2 linked regions of the Xenopus tropicalis genome follow. The protein of the gene in region 1 interacts with the protein of each later gene in a biochemical or structural test. Links are inferred from orthologs where the notes say so. Each region holds a gene or a part of one and is shown in the gene's direction. Other genes may lie near its edges.

Evidence for each region.
Region 2: the proteins of dcaf11 (region 1) and slbp form a complex in vitro, tested with the Homo sapiens proteins (2 studies listed by BioGRID, with this or other methods). The link is inferred for Xenopus tropicalis from reciprocal best matches to the Homo sapiens genes DCAF11 and SLBP.

The regions. Positions count from the first base shown.
Region 1 is NC_030677.2:139,470,396-139,474,601, reverse strand, and holds the start of dcaf11 (DDB1- and CUL4-associated factor 11), read left to right. Parts: upstream 1-1,340; 5' UTR 1,341-1,352; coding exon 1,353-1,507; intron 1,508-2,893; coding exon 2,894-3,021; intron 3,022-3,407; coding exon 3,408-3,526; intron 3,527-4,206. UniProt on the Homo sapiens protein: May function as a substrate receptor for CUL4-DDB1 E3 ubiquitin-protein ligase complex.
Region 2 is NC_030677.2:20,337,135-20,340,788, reverse strand, and holds the end of slbp (histone RNA hairpin-binding protein), read left to right. Parts: intron 1-133; coding exon 134-182; intron 183-634; coding exon 635-727; 3' UTR 728-3,641; downstream 3,642-3,654. UniProt on the Homo sapiens protein: RNA-binding protein involved in the histone pre-mRNA processing.

The DNA.
Region 1 (4,206 bases):
CACGACAGGCCAACAGCTGAATTCTTGTGAATCTATCTGGAAGCCTGTGTTGTACTGTATCCTTCTTCACATTCAAGGCCTGTTCTTTTGCAGAGTTATAAAGAGACTGTGTTCCAGTGATGTGCCTACTTCTCAACTTTTACATAACTGAAAGAGTTTTGCCCATGCACACTTTTACCACAAAGGTATTCACGGTGTGTTTGAATATCCTGTCAGTCTCACACCCATTAGCCCAGCCCACAGGGGTACATTACAAAAAGCAGATGCATACAGTCAACGATAAACTTTATTTTATTTTGTCGCCATTCCTATGGTCTTTGCCTTACAGATTTGCAAACGCCAGTCAGGGAACCAGGGCTGCTGCTCCCTATAAGCAGAGTATGCAGTCTGCATAGGGCACCAACTCCCAGGGGGGCACCATCCCAGCTGCTCAAAAAAATCATTTTTATATAACATACCCCCCAACACTGTCCGGTTTTTATAGCGCATCCTGCTGTCCCGGATAGTTCAATCAATCTATGGGGGCAATTGGGGGCACTTACTGTGGGGGCTATTGGGGGCACATACTATAGGGGCATTGTCTATGGGGGCTATTGGGGGCACTTACTATGGGGGCATTGTCTATGGGGGATATTGGGGGCACTGTGTGTGGGGCCCCTATAGTAGGTGGTTTTTTTTATTATTTTTTTTTTACTTCTGTAATATTTGGGGGAGGGGGCACAAAAGTACATTTCTGCTTAGGGCACCCATTTGGCCAGCAGCGGCCCTGCAGGGAACTGTCATCTGGAAGAAGTCTAGGAGCAAAGAGAAGAAATGTATGCATCGGCTCCATAACAACATACCGCCCTGGGTTCAGCCCTTAGCTGCCCCTCACCACAATAGCAATTGTTACGAGTACCGGACGGCGTTGACTATTTAGCTGTAAATTGTCTATTCCCTAGCACTGTGCGAACACAGCAGAGCTCTACAGCACTGCAACCCAAGCTGAGTTTGGAAGGGGCGGGGCTTCTGCCCTGCAGGCACGTCACCTTGCCAACGCATCCCTTACTAATAAAGTTCCCACATTTGAATGTTTTTTTTCCGTACTGGCTACCTCATTCTGTGTATCTGGAATTGTAGATTTTATTTCTCTTAGGGCTTTTCTTGGAGGTTGGAAGAAAATCCAAACAAAGGCACACAGAAATGGCTTTGGAAACTGGGCTTTGGGCACAGCTGGGCCTGCAGGATCGCATGTGGGCGGGGATTTAAACGCGTTCGATGACGTTGCAGCCTGGGCATGCGCATTAACAATGTTCTTGTCCGTGTGTTTTTTTTACTGATATTTTGTTTACTGTATATTGCAGTGATGGAGTATGGGAACACGAAGTAGTAGCAGTGCAGGAGGTGGGGAAACTCCGGGAGATTCTCCAGAAGACTCCCAAAACAACCTAGAGTCACGTGGTCTTCAGAATGATGATGATGAGGAGAACGTTGACCTGGCGCAGGTACTGGCGTATCTTCTGCGCAGGTAACAAGACCCCTGACATGTCCTCCATAAACTTGTCCAACTATATTCTTAGCAAACACTGAAGCGAAGGTAGGATCTTACTTATGGCGCACATTGCTCAGTGTTCAGTTTTAGGGTTCTTTTATAGACAGGTAAGGGCTTTAATAGATAATGAGACAGACAATAAATTAAATACTTCTGGAATCTTTTAGCTCAGCAGTATTGTATAATAGCCACTAGGTGGTCATATAGACTAGGCATCATACTGTAAAGCAGAATAGAATTATACTGCAGAGAGGTGGAATATGTAGCATGGTCATTACCAGAAAAGTTGTTTTTAACCTTAAAGTTGTTTTAATCCTTTACCTGTCACCCATCATAGAATCATCATAGAATCTACTGCTTCGTCACGAAAGTTCCATCATGCTGGCCCCAAAGATTCTACATTTTTGTTGTTTCTATTTGAAGGGTGCAAGGTGTTTACTGGCAACATGCAACACGGTTAGATCAAAAACCTGTGCAACAGAAAGGGTTAAATAGTGTCTCTGTTACATTATTTTAGATCATTTGTAGGTAGTTGCCAGTGTCATGGCATGATACTTTATACATCCAGCAGTTGGGTTCAAATGTGTTGCTTATGTTTTGTTAAATTGAAAAAATAATCAAGGAGCAAGGAGCAAATCAGTGCAGAGTTATTTTAGCATTTTCAATCAATACGAAGCCACCAATACTGAGTTACATGGGGATGAGTGAAAATGGAGACACCACTAAGTCATGAAACATTGGGGTTTTTTGTTTTTTTTGCCCAGTGCAGTGGCCTCTCACCTCATTCTTCTTACTGTGATAATGCTACAGCCCTTTTACTTGTAACGTCAAGTCAAGTACTAGCACCATAAAGTTCTTACATATGCACATAGGGCAGCCAGCAGCTACTCTGTGCTGAAGGGTCAAATATAAAGTTCTTTATGTGCCTGTACAGCACATACTGTAAACACTGCAGTCTTTTACAGTATATCACAGTCTATTCTATCAGTTATAATTTCTATCAGAGGTTTATTTATATCTGAGAGCCTGCCGAAAATTATAGATGGCCCACATGAGCATATTCTTACTTTCTGGGTTCAAACAATTCTGGTCATCAACCTCTGCCCTAGAGAATTCTTCATTTTAATTACCTACTTGCAGCCCTTCAAGATTTCTCCTAAATTATTCTTGAGCAGATTTGCAAAACTTTGAGCTATTGTGCACACTACCTCTACTACCCACATGTCAATACTGCATGTAAACATACCCAGAGCTTGTAAACCACTGCCCTCAAACTTGCTTCCCCACTGAACCCTAGTTCTTTCCCATCCCTTGTGTGTGAGGTATGTCTGTCCTGAGAGTTGGTGTCCTTTTCCATCTTAGGGGACAAGTGCGATTAGTGCAGGGAGGGGGTCCTGCTAGCTTACACCTGGTGCAATCTTTGTCGGACTCAGATGATGATAACGACAGTGCCTGGGAGGGCTGCTTAGGAGACCGCTACATTCCTCCTGGTGAGTCGTCTTGTCTTCACACTTACATTATTGGTAATCCACCTTTGCCACACACCCATGCGGAGTGTGATTCACTTTTAGCTGTTAGTTATAATAAGTTTGACTTTAGTTAACTATTGCTCAAAAAGACGTCACCTTGATTTCATATTATAAGATTCTTACAACTCTAAGCCAGGCATGCATATTTCTTAGAAAATCTATCATGTCGCTAGCTAATATGTGAAATTCATTAATTTTAAGCTTGGTCTTCTGAGTGTAAATTAAATGGCAAGATCAACAGCATTTTTTCTTCATTCTACAGAATTTTCTGTGCCATATTCTCTTTTGGTGTGCTTTTTTCTTTAGTTTATATGCCTAAATCTCATTCAACTTTCCTTTTCTTGAAGTTGATTCAGCCCCAGACACCACATCGCTGGATCAAAATCAGATCAGGACACAGACACTTTTGGCCACAGGAAGACAAAGCACACAAAGACAACATAACATCACACGTCTCCTATTGGAGGTATGACTGGCCTACTTACTGGATGTCGGAAGTATGCTTTTACAACATATTGCATCAAAACCATGTTACACATATGGGTTATATTATACATTTTTCATATGAGATATACAGTATTTTGGGCATAGCCTATAAACCTTGAGTCCAGTAGGCGCAAAGTGCAATGTAACTGCCTGTTCTGCATCTTTACCATGGCTTATCTGCACCCACTGCTATCATGTTCAAACTTTTGCACATTCAATAAGGGGGTGAAAAAATTTGCACCTGTTATATGCTGGTAATCAAAGCTTGCACCCGCAATATAAGAGGGAGTATGTAGGTGGGAAGAATGTCTCCTTGGGTGCCCCTTAAAGAAGGAGTAAACCTTTTTTTTCTATCTTTAAAATAAATTACTCTAAACAACCCCCAGAATAACATATCTTAGTCACTTCCTGGTACAGTGTGAAGGCCTGCCCCCTCTTTCTGTTCAGCTCTGCTCATCTATTCGACTATAGGGTAGTCAAAGAGGAGAGCCTTCTTTGCATGCCTGACAGAGAAGAAGCATTCTGGAAATGCACAGTAAGTCAGACAGTTATGTATAGGCACAGAAGAAATCTGCTGCTGCTGCACACTGGCTCCTGCTTCTCTATGCATTCCCAGAAAGCTACCCTGTAGTCGAAGAGATGAGGAGAGCTTCACACTTT
Region 2 (3,654 bases), about 120 Mb from region 1:
GCTACTGTGTAGTCTCTTGATCAGCCAGCTGCGTAAACTGCAGATATTATTCTTGCATGTATGGTTTTTCATGGGAAGGCTTAGGTTATACGTCATGCTGTAGTCCTCATGTCTTTTCTGTTTAACTTCACAGTACGGAAGAAGACATGATCTGTGTGGAAACAAGCTCACAAGACAGCCTAGTAAGTAATTTCATTTTTTTTTCTTTTGTACAAAGAGTGGTCAGTTTATCAAATGGATTGTACTGGGGCACGTGTGAATCTAAATTTTCACTCCACATTTGATATTTTGTATCTGGAGATACTTCCCTCTTGTAAATGATTTAAAGTTGCAAAAGGAATGAGTGGAGAGGAGCTGATAAATGGGGTGAACTGTGTCATAAGGGCTTCAGATGCAAAAATCTGCAAATATTGCTTGTTCTTTCATGCCAGCATGGGGCTTCTAAGCATAATACAACATGGATGGTGTTCGGCTTACTTTGGATTATAATTGGTTTTTGAAATACCATGTATTTCACGGTTGCTAACAAACTTTTTAGGGTGAGCAGATATTATCAAATGTTTTCTTTAAAGGTTAATGGGCTTCATCTGACTGCATTGACACCTTCCCCACCCTAATTATTCATTTTCCTTAGTTCACAGGCACTCCAACGAAGGTCCGGAAAGTTGAAGCAGAGGCTGAATTAGATCTGGAACCCTGCGGTACTGAGGAAGACTTTGTTAGTTAACATACAGTGCTTTTCCAGAAGAAAGGGCTCAGGATTGCTATTTGGCATGAACCCTGTTTACACACACAGCAGAGACTGGTAAATTTCACTCCCAGGTCCACTCTTGCGCATCTATACAGTAAGATTTCACAATATATCTGAGCTGCCTTAACCAATGCACATATTTTGGTGCTGGTAGTAGGCTGCTAGGTGGCGTTCTTCGCAAGCACTTGATATGGGAGCAGCTGAGCTGTATCCGCAGTCCCGCCACCTACAGTAATGACTGCTTCACTTGGCCACTGTCAGACCAAACAGATGGTGGCTTGCATAACAGGTTTAATAAATGTAAATGCCTATAATTGGGTTAACATGTTTTCTGCACTGTTTTGTTTTGCTTTTTTTGTGTGACTTGTCAGCAATTTTGAACACTTGCTTTAGGCACTGAATAAGCCTTGTTTTTTTTATTTTTAAAAAGTAGGATTTGATTTATTCCCTGCCACCTCAGTAGTATCAGGCGATGCACGAACTTCTGTGCTTTACATGCTCAACATTCAAATTACTGTCATGAAAGTTGGTTTCCCACTGTGCTAAGTTTACTAATTATCGCAGCTCCATATGCTTCATCCAGATGGCAACAAAATATTCCATACTTGTCACAGTTCAAGTGTGTAGTTCAACTGCATTTGTAAAATCTATGCTACTGCAGTATTTCTATTGGTCTGAGATGCCATCTCATACTTAACTGCAGTTTTCTATTGATTTGCAATAATGCTGTGTCTAAATAATGGAAGCCACTAGGCACTTTTGAGCATTTTTAAATAATCGTGCCAGCCCTAGCTCCCTTTTCTCCTTTTTCAGCATACTTGAAAAGTAGGTTGCAGTGCCCAAGGAGCACAGATGCTCATGAATCATTCCTTATGGGACCAGACTGCCTAAAGTGCTGTATTTAAAAGCCCTCAAAACTGGTTGTACAGTATTCTAGACATCCCCTGTGCAAATTACTGTTCTCACATGCGCAGCATGTATGAGTATACCCATACCATTTTGAGATTTATTTTACTGTGCAGAATGCCTAAGGGAGCTAAGAGCTGTAAGGAGATGGGGAGCTCACTTTTTTTTCCCCACAGGCTGATGCGTTTCTCTCCTAACAGGAGCATCAGCCTGGGGAAAAAATGTAGCAACATATTTTACTGGGGGGTACCAAACATTTTGGCATCACCCAGTGAAAGACATGTCCTTTAAAGTGCTTGGTTTTGTTTACTGTTCAGGTTGTAATGTGGCCTAAATTTGTGTTAGGTGCAGTGCGTGTTTACAATGTTTTTGGTAGGGCACAAATTTCTGGAGCACCTCATAAATGACATCCATTATAAACAGGCTGTACAGGTGGTTCATTATCTCCATTCAGCAGTAGGGTTGTCTTATTTTAATACTGACATGTTATGGACAGCTGTTGTGATTTCATTGGACTAAATGCTGGAGCAAATAAGCTTTTTGGGTAAATGGAATTTGAGAGGATGATGTTTGTGTGGTATCTGTACGGTGGTGAAGACTTTGCTTTTGGGATGATCTGTTCCTCATTTCGAAGGCTTTCATAGTGCAGTGCTCCAGCATTTAGCTGAAGGTTCCGTGTTTGGATGCTTAGGGTGGCCATACACTGGAAGATTCTAGCTGCTGGTATTGGTCCTTTAGTCCGATTCAGCAGCTTATCTGCCAGTGTATGGGCACAAACAGGCCTGCCAGACAATCTTGTCTGAAACTGGGCAGGTTTTGATTTTTCAGTCTGATCGGGGACCGCATTGGCTCATTGATGCGGTCCCGGAACAGACTGTACCTATACCCGTGTTCTAATTTAGTCATTTGGCCCCAATGCCAAATAACCAGATTAGCCTGATATTGCCCACCTGTAGGTGGGGATATCTGGAGATATGTTACAACCTTTAGAAGCAATGCAGCAGACTGTCCTTATCCATAGGACTGGATACCCTTTTACATGTTTTATTGCTTTATATGCTCATAAACCACTTTATGGGCAATATAAAGTGGAAATAAATAGAAGGAACAGTTTACATGCTCATTACAACCACTGTTTTTTGCCACAAATGTAACCATATTCAACTAGCTGCAAAAATGTGTGTGTTTTTGAGGCAGTGTTGCAGGATTGAGCTGCTTTTGTCTTCTCCCTCCATTAATGTTTACTACATCTTCTGAGTGGTTTGCATGTAGTAATTTTAAAACGAGTGCTTACACCTTCTCCTGCTGCGGAGCTTTCCTTTATACAGGTTGGGAGAGCAATGCTTGGGATCCGCCCAGTGCGTCTAAACACAGGAGTGTGGCCTACTGAGCACAGATTTCTGTCAGTGGTATTTTTATTTGTCTGTCTGTACTATTGATATTGGGAAATTACCATTCACATGTCTGCCTATGGCCAGTGAGATCTGTGCCGTTTGTTGCAGGCTGCCATGCTCTTATCTGCTCCATGATGAGTTTTGGTCCAGTCATGTGGCTGTTTTAACTATTCGCCCAATAGTCTGTCCCATTGGCAGGTTCCCTATCGTATAGTTAAAGGGGTGGTTCACCTTTATGCTAACTTAGTATGTTATAGATTGACTTATTCTAAGCAACTTTTCAATTGGTCTCCATTAGTTTCAATTTATTTGCTTTCTTACAACTTTGCAGTTTTTAAATGGGGGTCACTGACCCCGACAGCCAAAAAACTATTGGTCTGTGAGGCTACAATTTTATTGGTTGTTACTTCTTGTAACCTACTATTTAGATCCTCTTATTCATTCAACGGTCTTACCCCAAATCACTCCCTGGTTAAGGTTATTTGGACCCTAGCAACCAAATAACTTCCAAAACACCAGACTGCAGAGCTCCTGAATGGAAAATGAAATAAATAAAAGAAAAAAACTACAAATAAAAAAAAAAAAAAAAAAATGAAGGCCAAT